Linked DNA regions of Lonchura striata. The protein of the gene in region 3 interacts with the protein of the main gene of each other region in a pairwise test. Links are inferred from orthologs where the notes say so. Each region holds a gene or a part of one and is shown on either strand. Other genes may lie near its edges. The genes, in order: YWHAG, MBIP and EPB41L3.

Region 1 (7,677 bases), on a different chromosome or scaffold from region 3:
ACCAGACAAAAATGCAGCTTGCTCCAATCACCAGCACTGTGGGAAGTGAAACTCCAGCAAGCTAGCCCAAGGCCAATGTCTGACCACACTGGGGACCAGCAGAGAGCTTTCCTGTCCCCCAACACCTGACAGGGTTGATGGTACCCCCAGACAGCACTGAGGTGACACGGGACATGATCAAGGTCATGAAGACATGTCCTGGATCGATGGGCCCAGCCCTGCACCCTTCCTGGGTGTGGCACCACCTTCTGCTCCCTCTGGTAGGTGAGGGGACCATCTGCTGTGTTTTCAGAGACCCCTCAGTAAACCTGCCCCTTTTGGGGGCTGAAGGAGCAATCCTGCTCCTGCAGCAGCAACACAACTGCAGGTAGAGGCACTGGCAGCTAGCACTTGCAAGCAAGGAGGTAGCAGTTATTATATATAAATAATAATTTTGAGAAACTACTGCGATCCCAGACATCACTAGATGAATCAGCAGACAGCAAGAACCCCAGCACACCATTTTCTTTTTAAACCACTAACACAGCCATTCAGCACAGGTTCCCAAGCAGACAGGGCTGAGGCTGAACAACCCACCCCATGCGAGGTGGCCACCAAAACGCAAGGGTGAGATGAAGCTGCAGGAAAACGAGCCTCTTTTATGGCCATCATTGCCAGGACGGGTGTGAGAGGAGAACCAGCCAGCATTTCTCAGCAGGGTGCTAGGCAGGGCTAGGTTTGGAGGGCAGGATGGCTCTGCATCACCTTCGCTAGGCGCAGCCCGCATGCTCTCTGCTACCGCCTGGGTGCATTGCAGCTTGGACCATGGCATATGACATCACTAGGCGTTGCTACGGAAATGAGTGCGAGGTCATCAGCCTCCCGCACAACCGGGGCTGGGGGCTGGGCAGCGCACGGGGACGGGGATAACCGGCTGTGACACGGCTGTGACACGGCCGTGGCCGCCGGACCGGCCGTGCCGGAGCTGGGTGCAGAAAGGAAGAACAAAGCTCTGCCTTTTGTTTGCTGGTGAAGGGAGGCGGCAGCGCTCCCGCTGGGGATCGTTTCCTTACGGCCAAACTACCCGGCAGCTGATAAGAGGCGTTAGCCCGGGTTACTGTTTCACCAGGGCCCGTAAGGAAAAATCACACATAGGAGCTCTTAACAGCACCTCGGGTCCGAGCACCCAGCCCGGGGAAAGCAGGCTAAGAGAAATTCACAGTGCAACACCGCTCTGAGTCCCGGGCATATCCCTGCTGGCTTTGTCACGGCGGCTGTATTATCCGTAGGAAATGAGCTGTAGGATCTGCTCACACAGCAGGCTTTGCTTTAAAATGAATAGACGCCGCTATCAGAAAATGGTATAAAAGCCATAGTGCAGCAGAGGGACAGCCCGGCTGGTTTAATGTGATAATATCTCGTCCCGATTATCCGTATTTCATTCCTTGATAAGACATCTCCTCCCTCCCCGGGCTCGGGCTGTGACAGTTTTGTCTGTTTGATAAATGCAAGGTTATTGACAAAATGGTGCAATATGGGCAAACAGAGCTGCACCCACGGCAGACTGCGACATTCCCAGATCGGCATTCACTTTTCATCAGCCGGGGAGGACACCCCAGCTCCCAGCAAAGGTTCAGACCTGACTAAGAAGACAAACATAAAGAACAGTTTTCCCCTTTAAAGCACCCCCTCCCTCCCTCCACCCAGTCTAGCCTCTCTGCAATATGACAAATGCAGAATCTTCTGGAATGACTTGATCCTGCCTCCCACGATTGCTTTGTTTGCAAGATCAGATCAGAGATATGTTTTTTTTCCCCTTCTTATATTGTCAAAATGTCAGTATTGAAGGGGAGCGTTCAGTGTCACAAATCAGATCAGCCTGCTATATGCAGAGTCTTTATTTTAAGAGCGTGAAATGAATACAACATGACTCAATTCATAAATCTCCAACCAAGAGCAGTAAAAATAAGAGCTTTGACAGTGAAAGGGCTCCCGATCTTTGGGGTCAGGGGCACACATCAGCCCCGGCGACCACGCGTGGGAAGGGATGCACGGGGAGGTATTTCGGCAGCGGGGAGAGATGTGCACGAACCCCCCCAACACCGGGTCCCCCCCTGCCTCGCCCCACGGGGCCCCGAGCCGGTGTGACCCCCCCCGGCAGCGCCGCACCCGCCTGGCTCCTGTGCCCTGCTGGGGAGGGGAGCATGGGAGGGGGCCTGGGGCGGGGGGAGAGAAGAACTGCGGCTGGAAGGTGATGCGGGGGGCTGCAGGGCTGCGGAGGCAACGTGCCCCACGGCAGAGCAGAGGGTGCGGGGGTGCTCCAGGGCAGGGGGATGCGTGCGGCTGGGTGGGGGCAGCAGGGCAGGGGCTTCAGAGCAGGGGGAGGATGGGGGGGCGGCTCTAGGGCAGTCAGGGGGGTGCGTGCGACTGGGTGGGAGCCCCGGAATGAGGGAGAAGATGCGGGGGGGGGTTTAGGGCAGGAGGGAGCGATGCGTGGGGCTGGACGCGAGCCCCACAGCAGGCGAAAGATGCGGGGAGGGGGCTCCAGGGCAGAGCAGCAGGATGCGTGGGGGCCCCAGAGCAGGGAAAAGGATGCGTGGGGGGCTCTAGGGCAGGGACGGGGGTCGGGAGAAAGCAAAGTAAGCCTGGATCGGGGAGAGCGGCGGGAGCGGGAGGCAGCGGGGCTGCCGGAGGGCGAGGGAGCGGGGCCCTCACACCCCCGCGGGCCCCGGCCGAGCCCACCGCCCGCCGCGGGGAACAGGCGGGGAGGGCGGCCCCGGCGGGGCAGGAGGAGGAGGAGGAGGAGGAGAGGGGGTGTGTGTGAGCGTGTGGGGAGCGCCGCGGCCGCGGGACGGGACTCACGTTCTTCATGGCGGCCGCCATGTCGTCGTAGCGCTCGGCTTGCTCGGCCAGCCGGGCCTTCTGCACCAGCTGCTCGCGGTCCACCATCTTCGCGGGGTCCGGGGGGGAGAGGGGCGAGGAGGCTGCGGGCTCCGGGAGGAGGAGGAAGGAGAGGAAGGAGGAGGACGAGGAGGGCGCGGCGGGCTCGGCGCTGCTGCGGCTGAGGCGGCGGCGGCGGCTGCGCCCGGTGCTGTGCGCGCGCCGCGGGCCACCACAACCCCCCTGCGCGCGCCCCGCCCCTCCCCCGCGGCCCCGCCCACACCCGGCCCGCGGGGCACGACGGGAGATGAAGTCCTCAGGTGCGCCAGCGGCGCCGGGTTCATGCGGCCCGGCCTCGCCCTTCGGGACTACATCTCCCGTCGTGCCCCGCGCCAAGGCACCGCCCCCTCGGCCCCCCTAGGCCCCGCCTGTGCTGATTCACCGGAGCCCGGCCCGGGTGGGCCGCGGAGGGCGCGGCTCGCGCCGGGAGCGCGGGGGGGCCCGCGGGAGGCACCGGGCGGGCCTGGGCACCGAACCCTGGCACCGGGCGGGCTTGAGTACCGAGCGGGGCCTGGGCACCGAACCCTGGCACCGAACCCTGGCACCGGGCGGGCTTGAGTACCGAGCGGGCCTGGGCACCGAACCCTGCACCGGGCGGGCCTGGGTACCGAGTCCTGGCACCGAGCGGGCCTGGGTACCGAACCCTGGCACCGAGCGGGCCGGGGCACCAAGCGGCACCGGGTGGGCCTGGGCACCAAACGGCTCTGGGCGGGGCGGGATCGCACCCTGGGGCTGCGCACAGTCACGGCCCGGTCCCGGGCGGGGACACTCTCCGGGACGCTCTGGCGGCCCGGCACAGCCACAGGCTGGGCTCGCACACACAGAGGACTCGGTCACAGCCCGGGTCCACTCACAGCCGGTGCCCACTCGGAGCCCACGGTCACTCCCAGTGCTCCTCTCAGAGCCTGGAGCCACGCACAGCATAGTCCCACTCATGGCCAGACCCACGAGCGGGCCTGACCCACACACATCCTGGTCATACAGCTCGAACCCACCCACAGCCCAAACCTACTCACAACCAAACCCACCCACTGCCCAAACCCACCCACCACCTAAACCCACTCACAACCAAACCCACTCACTGCCCAAACTCACAACCAAACCCACCCACTGCCCAAACCCACTCACAACCATATCCCACCAAAATCCCTGATCCACTCAAAACCCCGACCCGCTCCTGTCCTGGTCCCGCTCACAGCCCATGCATCCTTCCCCTGTGGAGACCCTGGCAGTGTTGCTGTGCCTGGGGTCTCTGACACTGTGGCATGGTGACAATCTTGGGGTGAGCCCCTGTGCCCTGCTTTCCCCTGCCCCCTTTTCCCCACCATGGCCAGGGTCCCAATCCACAGAGGAGAGGCACTGGAGATCAGCTCTGGGTAGTGGGTAATGACAGCCACCTTGGGCCCACAGTGCACTCACACATGGATAACCCATGGGATGAAAACATGTCTGCTCCATCCATGTGGGGCTCTGCTACATGGGGAGAGCCACTGGGAGTCATAAGACATCCCACTTTCCTAAAACTCTATGGATGAAGTGATGCTGAGAGGAGGCTACAGCACTGGGAGGAATGAAAGGATTTAATGGATCCTGTTCTCCTCAAAAGCCTCTGGATAAAGCAGTGCTGAGACAATGCTGTGGCAGTGGGAAAAAGGAAAGGGGTCTAACAAACAGTGATCCCCATGAAAGCGCTTCACCCTCCTTGGAGAGAGCCAGGCAGTGCTGATGCACAGATGAACACTGTCCTTCACGTGCCACATGTCCCTGGCCCTTCCCAAAGCCACTGTCCCCACACAGGTGCTTTGGGATGTGTGGGAATTAGCTCAGAGGACTCAGCCATCCCACCTGCCAGTCCCTGTGCCCTGTGGTTTCCTTCTGAAACCTCCCACAGGAACCCTGGGTGGCACTGGGATGTGCTGGTGTCCTCAGGGCAGTGTTGTGGCTCTCCAGAGCCAAAGGCCAAGGTCTCACCCACGTGGGTGGGGACAAACTGGTTTGGGAATGCTGCTGGTGGTGAGCAACACCCTTTTGGGGCAAGTTTAATGTGGGTTTTGCACTGCTCTGCAAATAACAGAGAATGGCATCGCCTGGATTTGTGTAGCACAAAATCCTCCTTTGTTTACAGTTTCCGAGAGCAGAAGAAATCCCCCTCTCTGATAAACAGAACCAGAAACACGACCGGATCCTCTCCATTTCCTCCCCAAAAATCAGACGCTGTCTCCTCGCTCGCACCCCCGGCCTCACACCCCGCAGGGCACACGTGGCTCCCGAGTGAGAACAGCCTTTGTGCTTTGTGCCCAGCCTTTGTTTACTGCCCGGCCATCCCCAGGACAGATGCCACAGACAAGGGCAATTTATTCCCCTCCCCCGATAAAGGCTCATTCTTCCTCCCCAGGGGCTCGCTGTCATCTCTGGAGAGCTCCCACAGTGGGGCTCTGGGTTGTTTTCGCCCTAGCGCCAGTTTTGGGAGAGGGTATGTGTAAAAAAATGCAGAGTGCAAGAGAATATTAAAGGAGTTTGGTTCCCAAATTATTTTTTCAGCTATTGCTGCCATTTCTTCTCATTAATCAGGAGATATTTGTGGGGCATCACCTGAACCAAGCACGCTCATGTCTGTGAATGAATGAGAGCAGACTCCTTGCTCATCCCCTTCTGAGTGATCCTACTGCATTTGGGCCAGATATATGCATCCCCTAACTTGGAAAATAAATAATATTATCCCTTGGGTACAATTCCTGGGTTCTCCCGGACAATATTGAACACAAGCCCAGACCTGAAGAAGTACTTTTGCACCTGGAGGATCCCCTGATTTCTCCAAATATATCAACAGTCCTAATAAAAACTGTTGCCTCTCCATACAAACCTTTGGAATTTTATCTAGTATTTTCCATAAATCTGGCACATTCTCAGCCAGCCCAGCTCTGCTGATTTACAGTGACCCTGTTTTTGCCCCAAAACGAGCAAATACTGATTTATTTCTGTCAGAGCACCAGAGCCATAAATACATTTCCCAACGCAGATGATTTCCTTCCCCATCACAGGTCAGAACAGGATATTCATGATGCTGTAAATTTTTCAGAGTAGCAAGCTGGCTGTAATATTTATCTGCAGTGAATCCAGCCCCCTTTTTGAGCTCTGATGTATAAATCAGCACCCCTCACAACACCTAATTCCTCTGCTGCACAGCCTGGGCAGCAGTGGGGTGAAGGTTTGGTGGTGGATGGTCCAAGTTAGAAGGTTCTGGTGGGCAGCACAGGCAGCTGGAGGTGTTACCTGGCTGGACATCACTAAATCCCCTTTTCCCTCCTCTGGTGCCTGCAGACACCCCTCAGTGAGAGGCTGGGGCAGCTGCTGTGCTGGGAAATCACAATGACCCAAAGGATGTGGGTCTGTTCTGCAGATGTCCCAGAAAAACCTAATAACCTCAATTCTGCCTGCGGGATTAAAAATACTTCTCTGCGTTCAAATGTGCCACTTTGTTAATTCCTGTGGCTTGGAAGGAGAGTCTTTCTCTTTGCATTTTCTTGCCTTCCCTGCTACGTCTTGTCAATGCCTTGTGACACTGTGAGGGAAGGCAGGAAATTCTCTGTGACTTGGAGGTTTGCTTGGGTGAGCTGCTGACTGCTCTGAAAATGGATCCAGAAATCCTCACCCCTCATTTCCTATGGGACAGTGACAGTCATGTGCCCCTACCCTTGTGCCTTTTCCCTCCATGTCTGCTTGCTTGGAGCCAGGGGGATGCCCAGGGAAGGGGATGCCCAGGGAAGGGGATGCCCAGCATGGGAGATGTGTGTGCAGGTCTCCCAGCCTGTCCCCACCCCAGAGGTTGTCACCCCAGGTACACCAGCACACCTGCCACACCTCACAGCAGCAGTGACACAAGTGCTTGGTGTCTTCAGCTGGTGGGTGGCAAAGCTGTGAAGGCCAGGGGACACAGGGTGGCATTTCCCAGGCCTGTGTGTGGGCTGGGATGGGTCCCATCCCTGGGATGCTGCCCAGGCTCCTGCACAGCCCCAGGGCTGGGTGTCACCCCAAGTCCCACTCCCAGGCAGCTGCTGCTTGGTTTGCCCTGAGGAAGGGGCTGCCTGCCCAGGGGAGCACTTCTGTGACTCTTGCAGTTATGTTGGTGGAGAAACAAGCTGAGGAAACCTCTGGCTTCGGTGTCTCGTTCCCTGAGGTTGCAGGACAGTGGTGCCCTCATGTCCTCCCTGCCTGACCCCTCACTGGGCCAGACTGCCTGTCCCCAGCACCCCAAAGCTGTGGCACCCTGGCCCCTTTCCCTGAGCCTGGCCAGGAGCAGGACAAGGCTGTCCCTTCCTCCCCTGCACCTCCCCAGCCCCCACGGTGCAGCCTCAGCCCTTCCACCCTGACACAAACCAGAGCTGGGGGGTCACCCCAACCAAGGTAGGACCCCAAAACCAGCAGCTGGGTGAGCTCAGGGCTTCACCAACCCTCCCCAAAACATCCCAGAGCCAGAGGTGCCTCACCTGGGGCAGGAGGCGATGGAGGGGCTGTGGCTGGTGGGGCTGATGACAGACCGAGGGTACTTTGCTGGGAGTGTCCTTCCCCCTGTTTGTGGAGCTGCAGCGCTTTGTACCCAGCCCTGGCCTTTCATCTCAGCCTTTCAAAGCACTTTCCAAGCTCAAATTAATTCTGCTGCAGCAGCTGCCCTCCCGTGCTGTTTAGCATAAGCTCTGTCTCCAAGCAGGGCTGCCCTTACCCCTCAGGGCTTCCAGGAATGATTTTCCCTGGAACCAC
Region 2 (7,104 bases), on a different chromosome or scaffold from region 3:
GGATGATAAACTGTCCCACGTTAGTTTCAAATCCCAGCATTAACACAATTTTGTAAAGAATTATAAGCCTGAACCTTCCTTCTTTAGTCAAAGATCAGCCTTGATAAATTCAGGGTCAGTTCCCAAATTACATAGCAAAGGAGACAGTCTGACTAGATATATAATGTATTTTAGATAATTTTCACAAATGGTTATCCCTGTTTAGTACTTAAGCTAAGTACACAGGATGTAGGAGAAGTAATGTTCTAGGATATACTAATCTTGAAGAAGTTTCAAAAGCAAGAATGTATTTAGAACATAGCAGGAATAAAATTTAATTTAGGAATTAAGCCATTGTGCATGTGATCATCTGAAGCATGTATTTCTGCCTGAAGTTTCTAGAGTAATATCTCCTGTATGCTATATTATAGTCTACTGATAGGGTAAAAAAGGGGCAGATTAAAGTCATCCAAATGAAACAAAATAGAAGTGCTACTGCAATTTCCTAATAAGTCTCCTTTTTAAAAAATAATAATCTGATATGTGCCTTCACAATATCACAATGGACACCTCCTGTCCAGGTGGTTCAAGGCACAAAAAGCAACAGAACTTAGAATCATTTAGAGGACAGTCATATTTTTAATTCAGACACTGCTTTTAAATAAAAATATAAAGCCCTCCTGCATCAACAGAAGTTTCTAGTACCACAGAGTAAGTTCTCAGTCTTTCACATCCTACTACTTATTAGAACTGTGACAAACAGATTTTTAAATTCAATGTTTTGATAACTTCAAAGCCTTTGACTAATTACAAGTCCACAGCCTATTCAATTTACAGGATTATATGTAATTTCAGCTCTTTGAAATTTGTTTTACATAAACACTGGCTATCATTTGAATCTTAAAGAACTTTTCAGGATCAGCTATATTGGTTTTAAGAGCTGTTATTCTCAGATGTCCTGGTCACATACTGCCATTGATTGCTCCATTAAAAAAATCCTGTGCCAGAAATATTCCTGCTTACTGCCCAATTTACTAGCATAAAACCAACTTAAACTACTGTAGTGAATCAAACTGTGACTGCTAACAATTTGGCACATGCTTAGTCATCTCTATAAAAGGGAAATGGGGAATCAGTAGTTTCAGTCAGAAATGCAAGGCAGTTTGCTAGAATCCCTAAGCAGTTAAATCTGTCAGTACTCAAGCACTGGCAGACAAGTGTCAGCAACTGGAAATCAAAAGGACTTTCACAGCTAAGATGGAGCAACCAGATCCTTATCCAACCAGTGCACTGTTGAATGTGACACAGTGAAACGTGTCTGTTGTCAAGGAAAGAAGACACTCCAAACACCAAAGAAGACAATTATACTCTGCACCATAGCTACTGTAACTACTGAGGGGATGTAGCAACTCTAAGCAGTTCTCTCACAATGGTCTGTGCACACACAGTTATTTTTAAAAATCACCAGGGCCTTTCCAATGACATGCTAGTTGTAGAGGCAGCTTTGCAGAAAAAGTAAGCTGCTGAAGTCAAGAGGTAGAATAAGAGTTTTTAATGTAGTTTATAAACAATTCATAAACTTTTGATGAATACCCCAGTTAAAATCTTAGGAAACTTTCCCCTTATTCTCCTTTGTATTTTTCATAAATACAAGAGTTCCAGCTTTTCTCTGATGTGTTCTATTACTGTCATTCATAGTGTTGTCCTCCCACTTAGATAAACTGACAGTCACTAGCTCTTCATTGATCACATTCAGAATTTTCACCAGGAAGGATTATGGGGCCTTTAAACCTCAACAGTTTTCATGCCTTGGTAATCCTATGCGTCAGCTGTGTCTGGACATCACAGTGTTTAGTGCTGTACTCCTGTTCAAAAGCCATAGCAGTTTTTAACCATTTTAGAGAGAGGAAAACTGAGACTCTTAACTAAGTCTCTGAATTACCAAGCCCTTAATTTTTCTTGCCTTTTGTTTGAAAATAGAGACAACTGCTAGCATAGTTGGAGGAGAAAAGCAAGTATAATAAAATTCTATACAGATGAGAAGTGAAACACTCTAAAATATCATTTCAGATCAGCCAGCAGCTACTCCTAAACTGCCTCTGCATCTAAGAGACCAATTCTTTACCAAACATACATTAAGTTACACTAGCTCCTGCATATATTGTTCATCATCTGGCCCCAAACTTTCAAACTGCTAACTCTTGAAGTAAGAGTGTACTTCTGTCTTCACAGAACTACATAAATGTTTCCACAGTGGAAAATTAATGTATAAATTGTTTATACCAATAAAAATGTTATTACTAAAACCTTCTCCTGACAAGGGCGGGCCTTCCACTACTACTGTAACATTTGTTTCACAACTCACAGACATTACTAAACATAAAGTAGGTGTTTCAATTTAAGTGCCAAAGAGCAGAGCACCTTTAAAACTTCTGACCCTTAGAGGCACTGCGTGTTTCATAGCATGCCATTACCAAGGCAGGGCTAACTTTAAGCTCCTGAAAATTTATTTTGATTTAATGTACTGCAAGCTTTCAGCAGCTTTTCAACTCTAAGCAATTAATTAATAAGATACAGCAATTAAGCAAATTGCACTTTCCCACGGAAGCTATCATCCGTCAAACTACAAAGCGGCGCGCGAGGTCCCGTCACTGCGAGGCCAAGGCACGGTCCCGGCTGCGGGAGAGACGCAGCGGGAGCAGCAGCCACGCACCGGGGGCTGCCCCGGCCGCAGGGAGCGGGGGAGGCAGCCGGCACCGCCGCCCAGCCCCGGCAGAAACCAGGCGGGCACTCCCGGAAGAGGCAGCTGCCTTATCTGCCCCGCAGGCCGGGGGGAAGCAGGAGCCAGCCCTGCTCGCGCCCCAAAGCCAAGTGTTGTGAGGCGGGCGCGGCGCCCAGCCCAGCTCCGCCCAGGACCTCTCCCTCCGCCCGCCCCGCACTCACCTGCCCCGCCAGCCCGGCCAGACAGCGCAGGGCGCTGCTCGCTACCTCGGAGGCCGCAGGGTCCGCCTCCGGAGCGCGGGCGCCGGGCGGGAGCGGGCCGGGCACCGCCACCGCCGCCGCCATGACGCAGGGCCGGGCCGCGCCGTCGCCCCGCGATGACGAAGGCCTGGCGCTGGCCCCGCCCCGCGCGCTGATGGACAGGCGCGGCAGCCAATGGCGGCGCTCGGGCCGCTGTGGGGGCGCGCTGCCGGGAGGCGCAGCGCGGGCTCCTTCGGGGGAGCGGCCCGCGGGGCTGCCTTTCATCGCGCTGCTGCCCCTGTTTCTGCTGGGCCTGGCTGGCTGCCCCTCACTTTTGTGCGTTCATGCGTTTTGTTCAAAGCCTTGACTCCTCTGGCTGCAGCAAGGTTGTTTTTAAATCAGACTACGAGTTTTGTGAGAGTACTCTTGATTTTGGGGGTCGGAAAATTCTATTCCCTGTAAGACATTTTACTTTTAAATTTCTTCCCTAAGAAATTTAGTAGAAATTCCTAAGAAATATAAGTAGAAATGCATTCAAAGGTTTCCTACCCGATGTTTGTTTTGATACCTATTTTTGATCTGTGACTTCTTTCTGTTCCCTGACTATATTTTTTATTCAATTGACAAATAGTGAGTGCAGTAGTATATACAAATGTTAAAACATTGTTAAATAAAAATATTAGAAAGGAAGATGAATTTATTTGACTGATGTTTTGAGGGTTCTTTTTCAGCTAAGACATACCTTAATGTAGTGAAAATAAATGCTACTAAACAAGGCTTTCAGCACCAGCAACCCACAACATTTGATGGGACTCAAGCAGAGAAAGCTCTGCTCAAGTTCCAGAGAAAAATTAGTTCTGAAGAGGACTTCAGTGTTTAATGATTACAAACATATGCATTGATGTCTGCATTTTGCAAGAATATCTTATCTAGGCTGAACTAGATGGCATTTGCTTGCGTTGATGAGGACCAATGTTTGGATTCAGAAATACGGCAGAATGTATTTGTGATTTAGAAGCTCTGAAACATAGAAATGTATTTAATTCCTGAAAATACAGTTTTTGTCAGATAGTATTTTGAACACGTGCACAGAATATGGTAGTAAGTTAAGAACGTTTGTGGAATTCTGTTTTGCACTTCTGTGCAACAGTAGTAATTCCAGCTTACGATCAAGGGCTGCTTCAGCTAACCTTGACTCTTGCAGTTTTTGTCTCTGGACACGTAGCTGGAGCAACCCTGCACTATGTAATAATGTCATTTGGATCAAATAATGAAGAATTCAAGAATAAAGGAAAATACACTGCCCTTTCCCCTTCCCCTCCAGTGCTAAAACACTGAATTAATACATAAGTGATCTGCTGGCCAGAGCAGAATTATGGATCACAGATGTAACAACCTGGCATCGGTGTCAGAGAAGGCAGTTTATCCTGAATGAATTCCCAATGACCTGATAAGACAGAACAGGTCCAGGCATTTGAACCAATTCTTTACTTCAATTGATGAGTGCTCAGCTACCTGATAGATTCCAGCTTTCCTAGAGTGATGGAGCAGATGTATCCTACTTTATCAATGGGTACGTGCAGCCTTCCTAACTGAGAGATCTAAGATCTTTCCTTTCCTTTTGAGCATGTTATCTTTACCTGTAGCCAGAGGTTGTTTTGGGGTAAAAAACATTTCAAATGAAAAATAAATAGGTAAGCATATAAATATCAGAAAGATACATGGAAATATAAGGGAGATTTAATGAATGTGGAGGATTTCAAAGACAGTGGGAGTCTCCTTGTAATGAGCACCATTATTCTGTGCTCGTTACAAGGAGAGTAGGCAAAAGTAGTCAGTAGAGCTGTTGATGCCCACCTTTTATTTACTAAGCAGAAACTGGATCTTGGGTGCCTTCCTGCTGTTTGCAAATGTCTCCTCTTAGAGAAAGAGTAATGATTCCCATGGGGAAAGACTTTCTTCCTACTTGCTCTGTCTCAGAAGACCTTGATCTGAGTTGCAGCTGCTAGTTGAATAAATTTGGTATTATCTAATGTTTCACAGATTAAATTAGGCAATGCATTAAACAAACAGCTAAGGCAAAAATGTCAAACCTTCGTATCTAATGGAAGAGACAGACCAGAACAGAATGGTTCCAGAAGATGATTATATACTCACTGGATGTAGTGCACAGTAAAAATTAATTCACTTGTAATTGCCTCTGGAAGTAAAGCTAGCCACAGTAAATCCAGGCCTCCATAAAGACAGAGGAAATTACATGGCATGTTCACTAAAGCTGGTGAAGCAATAAAATATTGGAAGCTCTCATTGCTGGAAAGATACTGGTAATTTGGAATAAATTTATAGAAAACTGGCAAGAAGTAGATTGCCAGAGATAGAGATACTTGTTTAGAAAGAGGAATCAGAAGATTTAAATATGTCTAACTTGGCAGTAATGTCCAGATATTTTAATAATATGACAAACAAGGGAGGGAGTAATCTGGAGTTGCTTTCAACACTCAGGGATAGAGCTGTCATGATAATATTAAATCTTTTGCAGCTTTGATCCCTGAATGGATCATTGAGGTATATAAAAGCCTCTCCCACTGAAAACACCTTGAAAAATATAAGCACAAATCCACTAAGTTCTTAAATATCAAATATTGTGGTTGGAGTAAAATTATTTTGAACTAGAAAACTATTTTCTTTTGGTTTTGGACTATTGCTTCTTTTTATTTTGTTTGTAAAATGATAAACATTCACCTCTTTCGAAGTCTAGGTGCCTTTAAGCTATTTAAAATCACAGTAAACCTTAGTAAATTGACACAAGTTCTCTCCATTGGTCATTACTGTCATAACTCTTTCTTCTCCTGAATATTACAGTACACAATTTCTGAACTCTTTAATTTTGTCTCTAATACCCAAAGAAAGGTGAGTCTTGGCAGAATGTACCAGTCACTGAGGTTTGTTGTGCCAAAGAGTGAAGTGCTGAGCTAAGGAGACTGTGTAACATATAAGCAGATTTTTTCTCCTGAATTGAAAAGCTCATGCTGTGTAATTCTGCTTATGTCAGCTGTAGCACAGAGAAAGGCAAAAGAGGCAATGCTTCAGAAAAAAAAAATAACAAACAAAACAACAACAACAAAACAAAACAAAACAAAACAAAAAACCCCAACCAACCAAAAAAACCTGAAATAATTTGGAGCTTCAAAGATAAAAACAATACTGTGAATTCTGTCCAAAGCCCCAGGAAAATAGTTCAGTTTGACACCTTGCTGTAATTGTAGTTTTTCCTAATATTCAGATTATCAGTGCTGGGCTAATTTAACACAGTTATAAAAACGAAATTGATAGTAACATATTCATTAAATCGATAAATAGGGTTAAAATAGGAAATTACCAAGTCCCTCCAAAATAAAAGCTTTTATTTTTTTTTTTCCAAGCATTAATTTCAGAATTAAGAGCACTTCACTTCTGTTGCTTCCCAAGTACCCAGGAAAAGGCATCACCCCAACAAAGTTTATGGATACTGTTTCAACAAGATACTTAAGCTAGTGCCTAATTTTAAGCACTAGCCTAGCTGGAGAAAACCTCAGCCTGCATCCCTAAAATGTAGTCATGTGCTTATTAAGTTCATCAAATAAGGCTCTGAATTGCAAATCTGGCTCTCCAATAGGAGCTGCATTCCTTCAAAGCAAATGTCTCTGCTGACCTTTTGGTGTTCCTTTCACTTTACCAAAGTTTAGAAAGCCCTGTTCACACAGGATTGGAATGGGATTTGTACAAAATGTCTTGGCGGAAATACAACCCTGATGTATTTGCTGTTAGAGAAAAAAGGGAAACCAACAAACCTATAAGTATCTTACAGTTATGACTTGCAGTAATTTGATCATTCCTAACATTTGTGATGCTGTTGCCTGCACTCTGTTTAGTGTCCTTATCCTGGCATGCACATGTACCTATGACCCTTCCTTTCAGAATTTTTTTATCCTTGTTATGTTCTAATACTGCTTCATGCTCTTCCTTACTTTGGTCTTTATTTTCATTGTTGCTGTTTAGTAATTTTACAACATATTTAAATTTTATATACCTGCCTCCCTTCTTTCTTGCTGCCATCTGCAAATATGATTAGCACTCTGCACAAAATCCTTCAGCTCAGTTATATAATTTGGGATTGAGAACTGA
Region 3 (7,944 bases):
GAGATCCAGCTCAGGGCTTTGTTCAGTCAGGTCCTGAAAACTCCCAGTTGGAGACTGCACAGCCTCACCAGACAACCTGTGTCCTTATCCAACTGTCTGTCCTCAGTGAAAACACTTTATCCTTGTAACCAGTGTGAACTTCTCTCATTTCAGCTGGTATCCACTGTCTCTTGGCCTTCCACCACTGAGAAGAGCCTGCAATGATGTCACTCTTTCAGTGAAAAGAAAGCACTCTTTATACTTTTAGCTCTGCTATTTATCTGTTTATGCAAAGTACACTTTGCTCTGTGATTTAGATTGCTGTTTCAGATTTTAACTTTGCTAACAGCATTTGCCAAAAATTCAAATATAACCAAATCAGAGTGAAAGTGAAAAACAAATCTAAGAATAAAACTTGGGTGGAAAACTCACCCATGTGATCACATCAAACTTTCCCTGATGTGCCATGGTGATGGCAGCACTTCAGCACTCAGTACTGCATTTCCAGACATGGAAGAAGCATCTCTTTATATAGGTGCAACATGAGAGCCAATTATTCATGCATATTACAAAATAGGCCAAAAAAGCAAGATACATGCTGGAGCAAAGCTATGAGGAATGCAGTCTGCTAGTTTTCAGACTCAAAGAGTTTTGAGCAGTGTGTCCATCACAGGAAATATGCATTGCTTCCTGGCCCCAGAAGCTATTGCTCTCTCAGGCTCCTTAAGGCTCCTTAGCACATCAAAGGACAGCAATCCAAAGCAGCAGTCGCCTTACAGACCTTACTGCTACTCATCACCAAATCACCATGTACAGTCATGCAGAAGGCTTCTTAACAGCACTCTTAAGACATGCAGCTGAAGAATAAAAGACATAACCAGAACTAAGAGTGAAGGTAAATGCAGTAGTGCAACAAATGTTCATCCTGCCTAAAAGGTCACGTGATATGTGGTTAATGCCATTATCCTCCTCCAGCACTCTGGAAATCGCCCTGAGACAAGAGCTTCCCAGCATAAGCTATGGATCAATAAAAAGGATTAAGCAACAATACTTCAGAAATACTTGAAAGTAAACTATCGGGCTTTATCTCAAATTTTCTCTAAATCAGTCCCTGATAAGAAATTCTTAAGTTTGATGTCCATCTTTTCGTCTTAGGCTCTTTGCAACAGCGCAAGAATGCAGGTGATGCAGATTGTGCACACTCAAGAAACTGAAAAAGGAGAGGGAAAAAGAGCCAATGTCAACCTTCCTCCCTCCCCCCAGAAGAGGTGTGTACCAGCTAAAGTCAGCCACAATCTGTCAGCAAGTAGCCAGTGCCAGCCCTACACTCACTCCCACGCCTTACCCAGGACAGGGCCATCACCACACCAGGAACACTCACCTCATTCTGAGATAGGACACACAGCCAACACTGCTCCCAAATCACATTTGTCTTGTCCCTCAAAACTTAAGGCTGTGCATAAGCAAGGTTGTCACCACACAGTGAGAGGTGAAGCAAGTTGTTTTCCCTAATTAAACCTATTAGTAGCAACAAGTCACTTCTGCTAGGTCTAAATAGCTCAGAGATAAATCCCAAGACTGCTAATCTGCCAACCTCCCCTCAGTGCTCAGAGGCAGCTTCTTTACTCCTACAGACAACACTGGGTAAATACTACCTCCTCCAACCATGCTCCTGGAGCAGATCTCCAGGTTGATACATTCAAAGCAAATGTTTTCCCTGAAGCAGTCCAGCCACCTTTATTAAAAGCCCAAAGGGCCAAAATCTCCTCCTCAGATAGCAACAGCAGATACCCCCAGAAGAATATTCTGCAGGTCTGGCATCTGCACACAAGGAAAGAGTGTGACCCTGACAGAGCTCTGCGCTTTTTTTCATTTTATAAAAAGAAACCTCCCCAGAGACTACTTGTGATGGAAGACCTTTTTGTAGAAAATTCTTTTACAATATTTAATACAAACATGTTATCAACACATCATCCCTTAAAAGTTCACACCACAGGCAACACCAGTACTAGGAACAGTAAGGACAGTGACACAGTGCTTTTCTAAAAAGCCATCCAATGAATCTTCTGTCTGAACTGTTTGCAGAATCAACTGAATAAGTCAGAAAAGAAAAATTAAAATGTTCTAAGCTGTTGCTTCACAGCATGTCTTACAGAAAAGTAATTTAAAAGTTATTACAAAGACAATAACACTCAATCCCATAACATGACACTATTTCAAATTAATCCAAAGTATGTTAATTCCTTCATCTGTGCCAGTGATAAAACAGAATAAGGAAAAAAAAAAAGCCACTTCATCAAAAATAATTTGAAATTTAGTAAGCTTTGCCTGTTGCATTGACAAAACCAACACTGCAAAAACAGCCTTAATTTTCATCAAGCACAGCTTCCAATACATAACATTCTCCTCTTTCTCCCAAGCAAGCAGAAGTGATACTCATTTTGCACACTCACCATAATTATCCATATTCCAGGAGGCAGCCGTTCATCCAGTTTGTGAAATCCATGGTTTCAGCAAGTCATAGCCATCAGCAGGAAAATGAAGAGAAAAAGAAGAAAAAAAAACCTCTTAAGATTCAATGAACAACACAACACTACTGCTTTCTGTTAAGTCTGCATTACAAGACAGTTTCAGGTAACTCATTAAATGGACTGAACATAAACAACCCTCCACTCTCCAATTTATTCTAGAAAGAAATAAAAGACCCTCACAACATCCATGTTAATAAAAGAACAATAATTACAATCTAATAAAGATCTGTCAAGGCTGACCTCAGAAGGAACATTTTGTGAGGGGAGAAAAATGTCTTTTTAAGAAAAAAAACTTTCTACTGTACTTCCCCCATCAGGCAGTAACAGGTGTGCAGTATCACAAATAGTAAAAGGTATATTACTTTCTCTTATACTGCTGACATTTCAAAATCCTTGATGAGGAGATGTAACATTTGCAAGGAAGTAAGGCAAAGCCACCACAGCAACTGCTCAGTTTCAGAATCCTCAGTCATGGATGGGGGATTGGTAATTTATTCTTTGCAATTAAGGGAACCTGCAGCCTACCCCACAGCTGAGTATCTATGCACTATTACACATCTGCAAATCATCAAGAACACCCAAGCTGAAACAACTTTTTTTTTTCAATTTGGACTTTGAACAGTGTCTGAGTGACCAAACTCAGTGTGTGTCACTTCTCTCCTACTAATAAAAACCCAAGAAAGAATTTTACAGCTTTCCCAGGCTCAGCATTGATTTCTTTTGGCAACTGTTCCAAAACACTCGACCAATTTAGCATTTGGGGCTTTTTTGCTTTTCTGTTTGGTTGGGGTTTTTTTCATTATTATTCCTTTGGAGACAAAATGCTTTAAAGAGATAGCTACAAAATGCCAATTGCTATGGGATAACCTAAACAAACTGCATGTGTGTATGTAAGGGCAGACAAAGGCATACTCTTCTTTTGACTAGAGAAATCAACTGCATGTGCAAGTTCAGGAAGTGCACAAGGTCCTGAGCACAGATGAGCAGGCGAGGAGAGTGCTAAAGCCTGAGGTGGAAGGAAAGGAGGCAGTGAAGGAAATGCTGTCATCATCTCCCAGCAGCTCTGTGACCATCAGATTGATCACCAGGCCAAGGCTGACAAGATGTCAAAAAGCCAAAGGCCATGGCAAAGTCCCTTCCAACAGATTGGGACATATCTTCTCAGTTCACATGTTTCAATCATACAAATTCTCCAAACCAACTGTTCTCAGGAACATCTTCACAACTCAATGCTCTTTTTCTGGGTACCAGTAAAGGGACTTTCATTTTCACCTCCATAAATCTCAAAGCAACTCAGGAGGGCGGGGATGTGGTTTCTATTTGATCTCTGCAGAAACTATGCCATATGAAGGCAAATTTATCTCTTAGTGTCAAAAAAGAAAATGAAACTGGCACAAGCAACTAATTGGCAGCTCCCCTACTTCGATGGATAATGGCTGATGAGTTACCTCCTCCTCAGCCTTCACGGCCCATTAATAAGACAGCACGAAATGCTGCAGAAAAAGGGAGATGATTGCTCACATATTTACCACTTTGCTAGCAAACAACTTTTTGTTGTTGTTGTTGTTGCTGTTTTTGTAGGAGTGCTTTTACAGTAGGAGACATTCCAGTGCCTTCTTGTGAAGAATATTGGAGAGGAAAGGGAAAAGAGATTGCAAAAGATTTGCCTTCATTTCTGATTTATCTTGTCAGTCTTGTGTACCCCAGTCCTTCCCCAGAGCTGCAACCATGCACCATTACTGTCAGTGTGACTGTAGTTACAGACTGCCCTCAAGATATTACCTGTCTTTTACCTCTGCAAGGGAAGCTGAGATTACTGGAGAACATTTTTACTGGAGCAGACACGACTTCAGGGTACTCCCAAGGACTGTAAAGGCCATTGAGATACCTGACTGGACACAGGCCTTCATATTAAGGAAAGTGAGATTTTGATGGTGGCATGGAGCAAGCTTAAAATTAAGAAATTTATCAGGATATGAGAGATCACATGAAAGCAGATGTTGAGTAGGTGGGAATGGCGGGAAACATGGTGTGCAAAAACACGAGGAAGGAACAAAACAAAAATGTATGGATGACTCAGAGCTGGCAGAATTCATGCAGGAGAGCTGCTGAACTGGTTTATTTAGAATGGGGAGGGGACAGGAGAGCAGCATGCCCATTGACAATACTGCAGATACACTTCTGAGACAAAACAGGACGTGGTTGTTGAAGTTTGACATGTTATAAGGGGCAGAGTTCCATTATCAGCTCAGAAGGTTTGAGGGGAGAAAAAAGGTCACAATATGCCATAATGGGAGGGATGAATGAATGAGATGCAAATTGCCTTGAGAATTGCAGCAGCATCCACTGCCTACACCACATGCCAGTTGCTTGGGTCAGGGGGAGGAGAGATACACAAGAGCAAGACCACAGGGACATTCTGCATTTCCCGTGTTCCTCTTCACATACTGTTTTTGCATGACACTGGTTATGAAACTGAAAACGTTGGTTCAGCTTCAGGCAGCAATTTTAGGGTCAATTGCTTCTTCACCAGACACTGAAATCACAATTTGTCAAGCATCAAATTAACTGTAAACGTTTTAGGGGACAGTGAACTTGAGTTATGCATTATTATTGGGTCCCCTTCCTCAAAAATCTATCTTGCAATCCCTCTTGAAATGGCAGGTGCCTTTTTCTTTTTGCTAGAATCACACTTGAAGATGAACTCTGCAATTACACTACTTGCTTTTTGCTCCATCAACTCATTCCTGACTGTTATGCACTCTTGAAAGTACAGATCTCAAGTCATGGAATACGCTTTCAAAACCATGTGAAGCGTTTTATCAATTTATCACAAGAGTACGTCAATATAGGTTTTCCAGCTGAAAGCATTTAAAAGTTTCCTGAAAACTTTTATAGCTCAGCTTGGACCCACTCCTAATCCACAGACAGGGTAAAAGACTCATCTGGCACCAGCACACCACAAAATAAGTAAGCAATAAAGCCTTAATGAGGTTAGCTGTCCAGCAAAGCCCCAATACCCAGGGCTGCACATCTTTCCCTAATACTGTCAGTACAACACAGAACAACTACAAGCCTTGGTGCTGCAACAGATATCACTCAGTATTCAGCTGTATCAAACTGGTGTTTAAACATCATTCCAGCCAATGCCCCAGTAGGCTAGGAGAGGTGGAAGCTAGTGGAAACTGGAAAATCATTGCTGGGAATGATGTCAGATTTGGATTTATTGTGTAGCAATTCTAGGTCAGAATCAAACTTTTATATTTTACTCTTCCATGCAAATGTTAGAGAGTGAATATGAAAAATGTATTCTTTAAAATGGAGGGGAAAAAAAAGTCCATCAATGTTCTGCAAGTCCTATAGGTCTGCAGTTAATTTAAATGAGGAGTGATATTTCATATCCAGGTGGGATGATCATAAATCTTTTGGACATATGTGAGTTAAGATGAAGAAAAATATAAAATCGGCAATGCTGTGAAGATTTTACATTGAAGTGGTACATGGACAAAGTTGAATTTGGTTTGTTAGGCCTCCATTTCAGTTCTATCTCCCCAGCCTGGTGTTTGACCATTGAGGTGCTTGTGAAAGCTTACCACACCATGAGCCATGAGCTATACAGCTGAAAATTCTCGCTTGCCTTCAATAAAACAAAGGCAGAATTAAATGTCAGCAGTATCAAAACCTCCCCTTTACCCCTGAAATTCAAAGCCCAAGTCCCGTTTGAGTGTCACCAAACACAAGCTGTGCTAAGTCCTCAGAAGGTGAGGAACTTAGGTTTGTCTTGGGAAGGTTTCAGAGTTTCACCCAAGAACATGTCTGGGAAAAGCTGTACACCTGCATGCAAATAAATACATGCATAAACATAGCGTATGTACATAAACACAAATGCATCCTGCATATGTATAAACGGTGTATAATTGATATAAAGTGGCTCAGCACCCAGCAGGTGGCACTCACACCCTGAGCTCCCGAGGCCGGCACTCCGCGCTGCTCTACGAGAGGCACCATCTCACCGAGAGGTGAAAGCACCATGGGCACGCACCCGCCACCCTTTTGCAAGGCCTGATGCAAGGTAAAGTCCAGCATCTGGGCCGAAATCCCATTTAGCTTACTGGCCAGGCACCCCTTCCATTAATTCCCCCAACAGCTGCAAGGCTCCCCCCTTGACTGCTGCTGATTCTCAAGTGTTCTTGCAGCCTTTCCAGAGGAGCAGTATTCTGGGGACTGAAAGGGTCCTGGAATATTTTCCATATAGAAGCATCACATTATGATATCAAGAACAATACAACTAAATGTAAAGCTTCCTTCAGACTTCATCACTTCTTTTCTCCATTTGACACACCCAGCTAGCTTTCAATTAATCCCACTAATAATTTAGGCTTTTGAAGATCTTATGAATGAACAAATCAGAACTGGAAGAGGAAATACTGTTTTTCTTTGATTAAAATTAAAGACTTGTTTTCACCCTAGACTTAAGTATCACAATCATATGTACATTCTTAATACACCTCCTAAAGCTGAGTGGTGCTTCAACTTCAGCTGAGTGGGTTTGTTTTTAAAAAAATATTTTCCTTTCCAATTCAATATTCCACCCATCTCCCTTCCTTCTTTTAAAAAAACAATAAAATCAGTTTAGAAGCATCCATTTGAAAACATCAGCTCTTTGTGGAGCAGTGCTGTTCCCTGTTAAGAGAATGCTTCGTGTCAGATTGAAAGATACCTTTCCAAGGTCATTTCATGTTCCAATGGGTTTGTTATGAAGTTGTGGAATGGCAGATAAGGTTGCATGAGATAGTAAAGTGCCTTCCTAAGCTAGTTCTGGGCAGTAATGTGCAACCAATATTTGAGCAAGGGACTTCAAGAAACTTCATATGCTGAAATAAATGCTGCTGCAGGAAGGACAGAAGTAGTGCCGAGATAGTGATAATCTGTTTCCCAATTAAAAAACAACAAAATAATAAAAGGCCATTTTCTTGACAAGTTTGCACAAACTGCACACATTTATGGCACTTGGCAAAGGTTGAGTGCTTCTAGGAACTTTAGGGGGTATCTCTTCAGCAAGTTAAAATACCCAACTCTTCAGCAAGTTAAAATACCCAACCCTGTGTAATAATGAGGATTTGATGCTAAAAACTGCTCAATTCAGCATCAATAGTAATGCCTTCAAATTGCCAGAACAAGAATACAAGAGTATTAAGTACCAGGACTGATAGTTTGCAAGGTTAAAAAAGGGAGGGGAAAGAAAAAAAGGTGCATATCTAATAACAGTTTTTTGAAAGTCTTGTAGTTACAAGTGTGAGGAATGATGATCCAGTATTTTTAGACTGCTTCTAACAGATCCCAAAAATGGAGGAAACCATATAACAGCATCCTCTTAGCAAGCTTTTAATACTGCCTGAGCCTATCCCAAACTCTGAAAGAAGGTAAGCCTCTG

What was found.
Region 1: the proteins of EPB41L3 (region 3) and YWHAG interact in binary tests that used the Homo sapiens proteins (3 or more experiments, as listed by UniProt). The link is inferred for Lonchura striata from reciprocal best matches to the Homo sapiens genes EPB41L3 and YWHAG.
Region 2: the proteins of EPB41L3 (region 3) and MBIP interact in a two-hybrid assay, tested with the Homo sapiens proteins (2 studies listed by BioGRID). The two-hybrid records come from large-scale screens. The link is inferred for Lonchura striata from reciprocal best matches to the Homo sapiens genes EPB41L3 and MBIP.

Annotation. Positions count from the first base shown.
Region 1 is NC_134622.1:5,708,344-5,716,020, reverse strand, and holds the start of YWHAG (14-3-3 protein gamma), read right to left. Parts: upstream 3,084-7,677; 5' UTR 2,929-3,083; coding exon 2,842-2,928; intron 1-2,841. UniProt on the Homo sapiens protein: Adapter protein implicated in the regulation of a large spectrum of both general and specialized signaling pathways. Binds to a large number of partners, usually by recognition of a phosphoserine or phosphothreonine motif.
Region 2 is NC_134608.1:24,890,577-24,897,680, reverse strand, and holds the start of MBIP (MAP3K12-binding inhibitory protein 1), read right to left. Parts: upstream 3,055-7,104; 5' UTR 3,046-3,054; coding exon 2,923-3,045; intron 1-2,922. UniProt on the Homo sapiens protein: Inhibits the MAP3K12 activity to induce the activation of the JNK/SAPK pathway. Component of the ATAC complex, a complex with histone acetyltransferase activity on histones H3 and H4.
Region 3 is NC_134603.1:50,136,046-50,143,989, forward strand, and holds the start of EPB41L3 (band 4.1-like protein 3), read right to left. Parts: upstream 3,005-7,944; 5' UTR 2,433-3,004; intron 1-2,432. UniProt on the Homo sapiens protein: Tumor suppressor that inhibits cell proliferation and promotes apoptosis. Modulates the activity of protein arginine N-methyltransferases, including PRMT3 and PRMT5.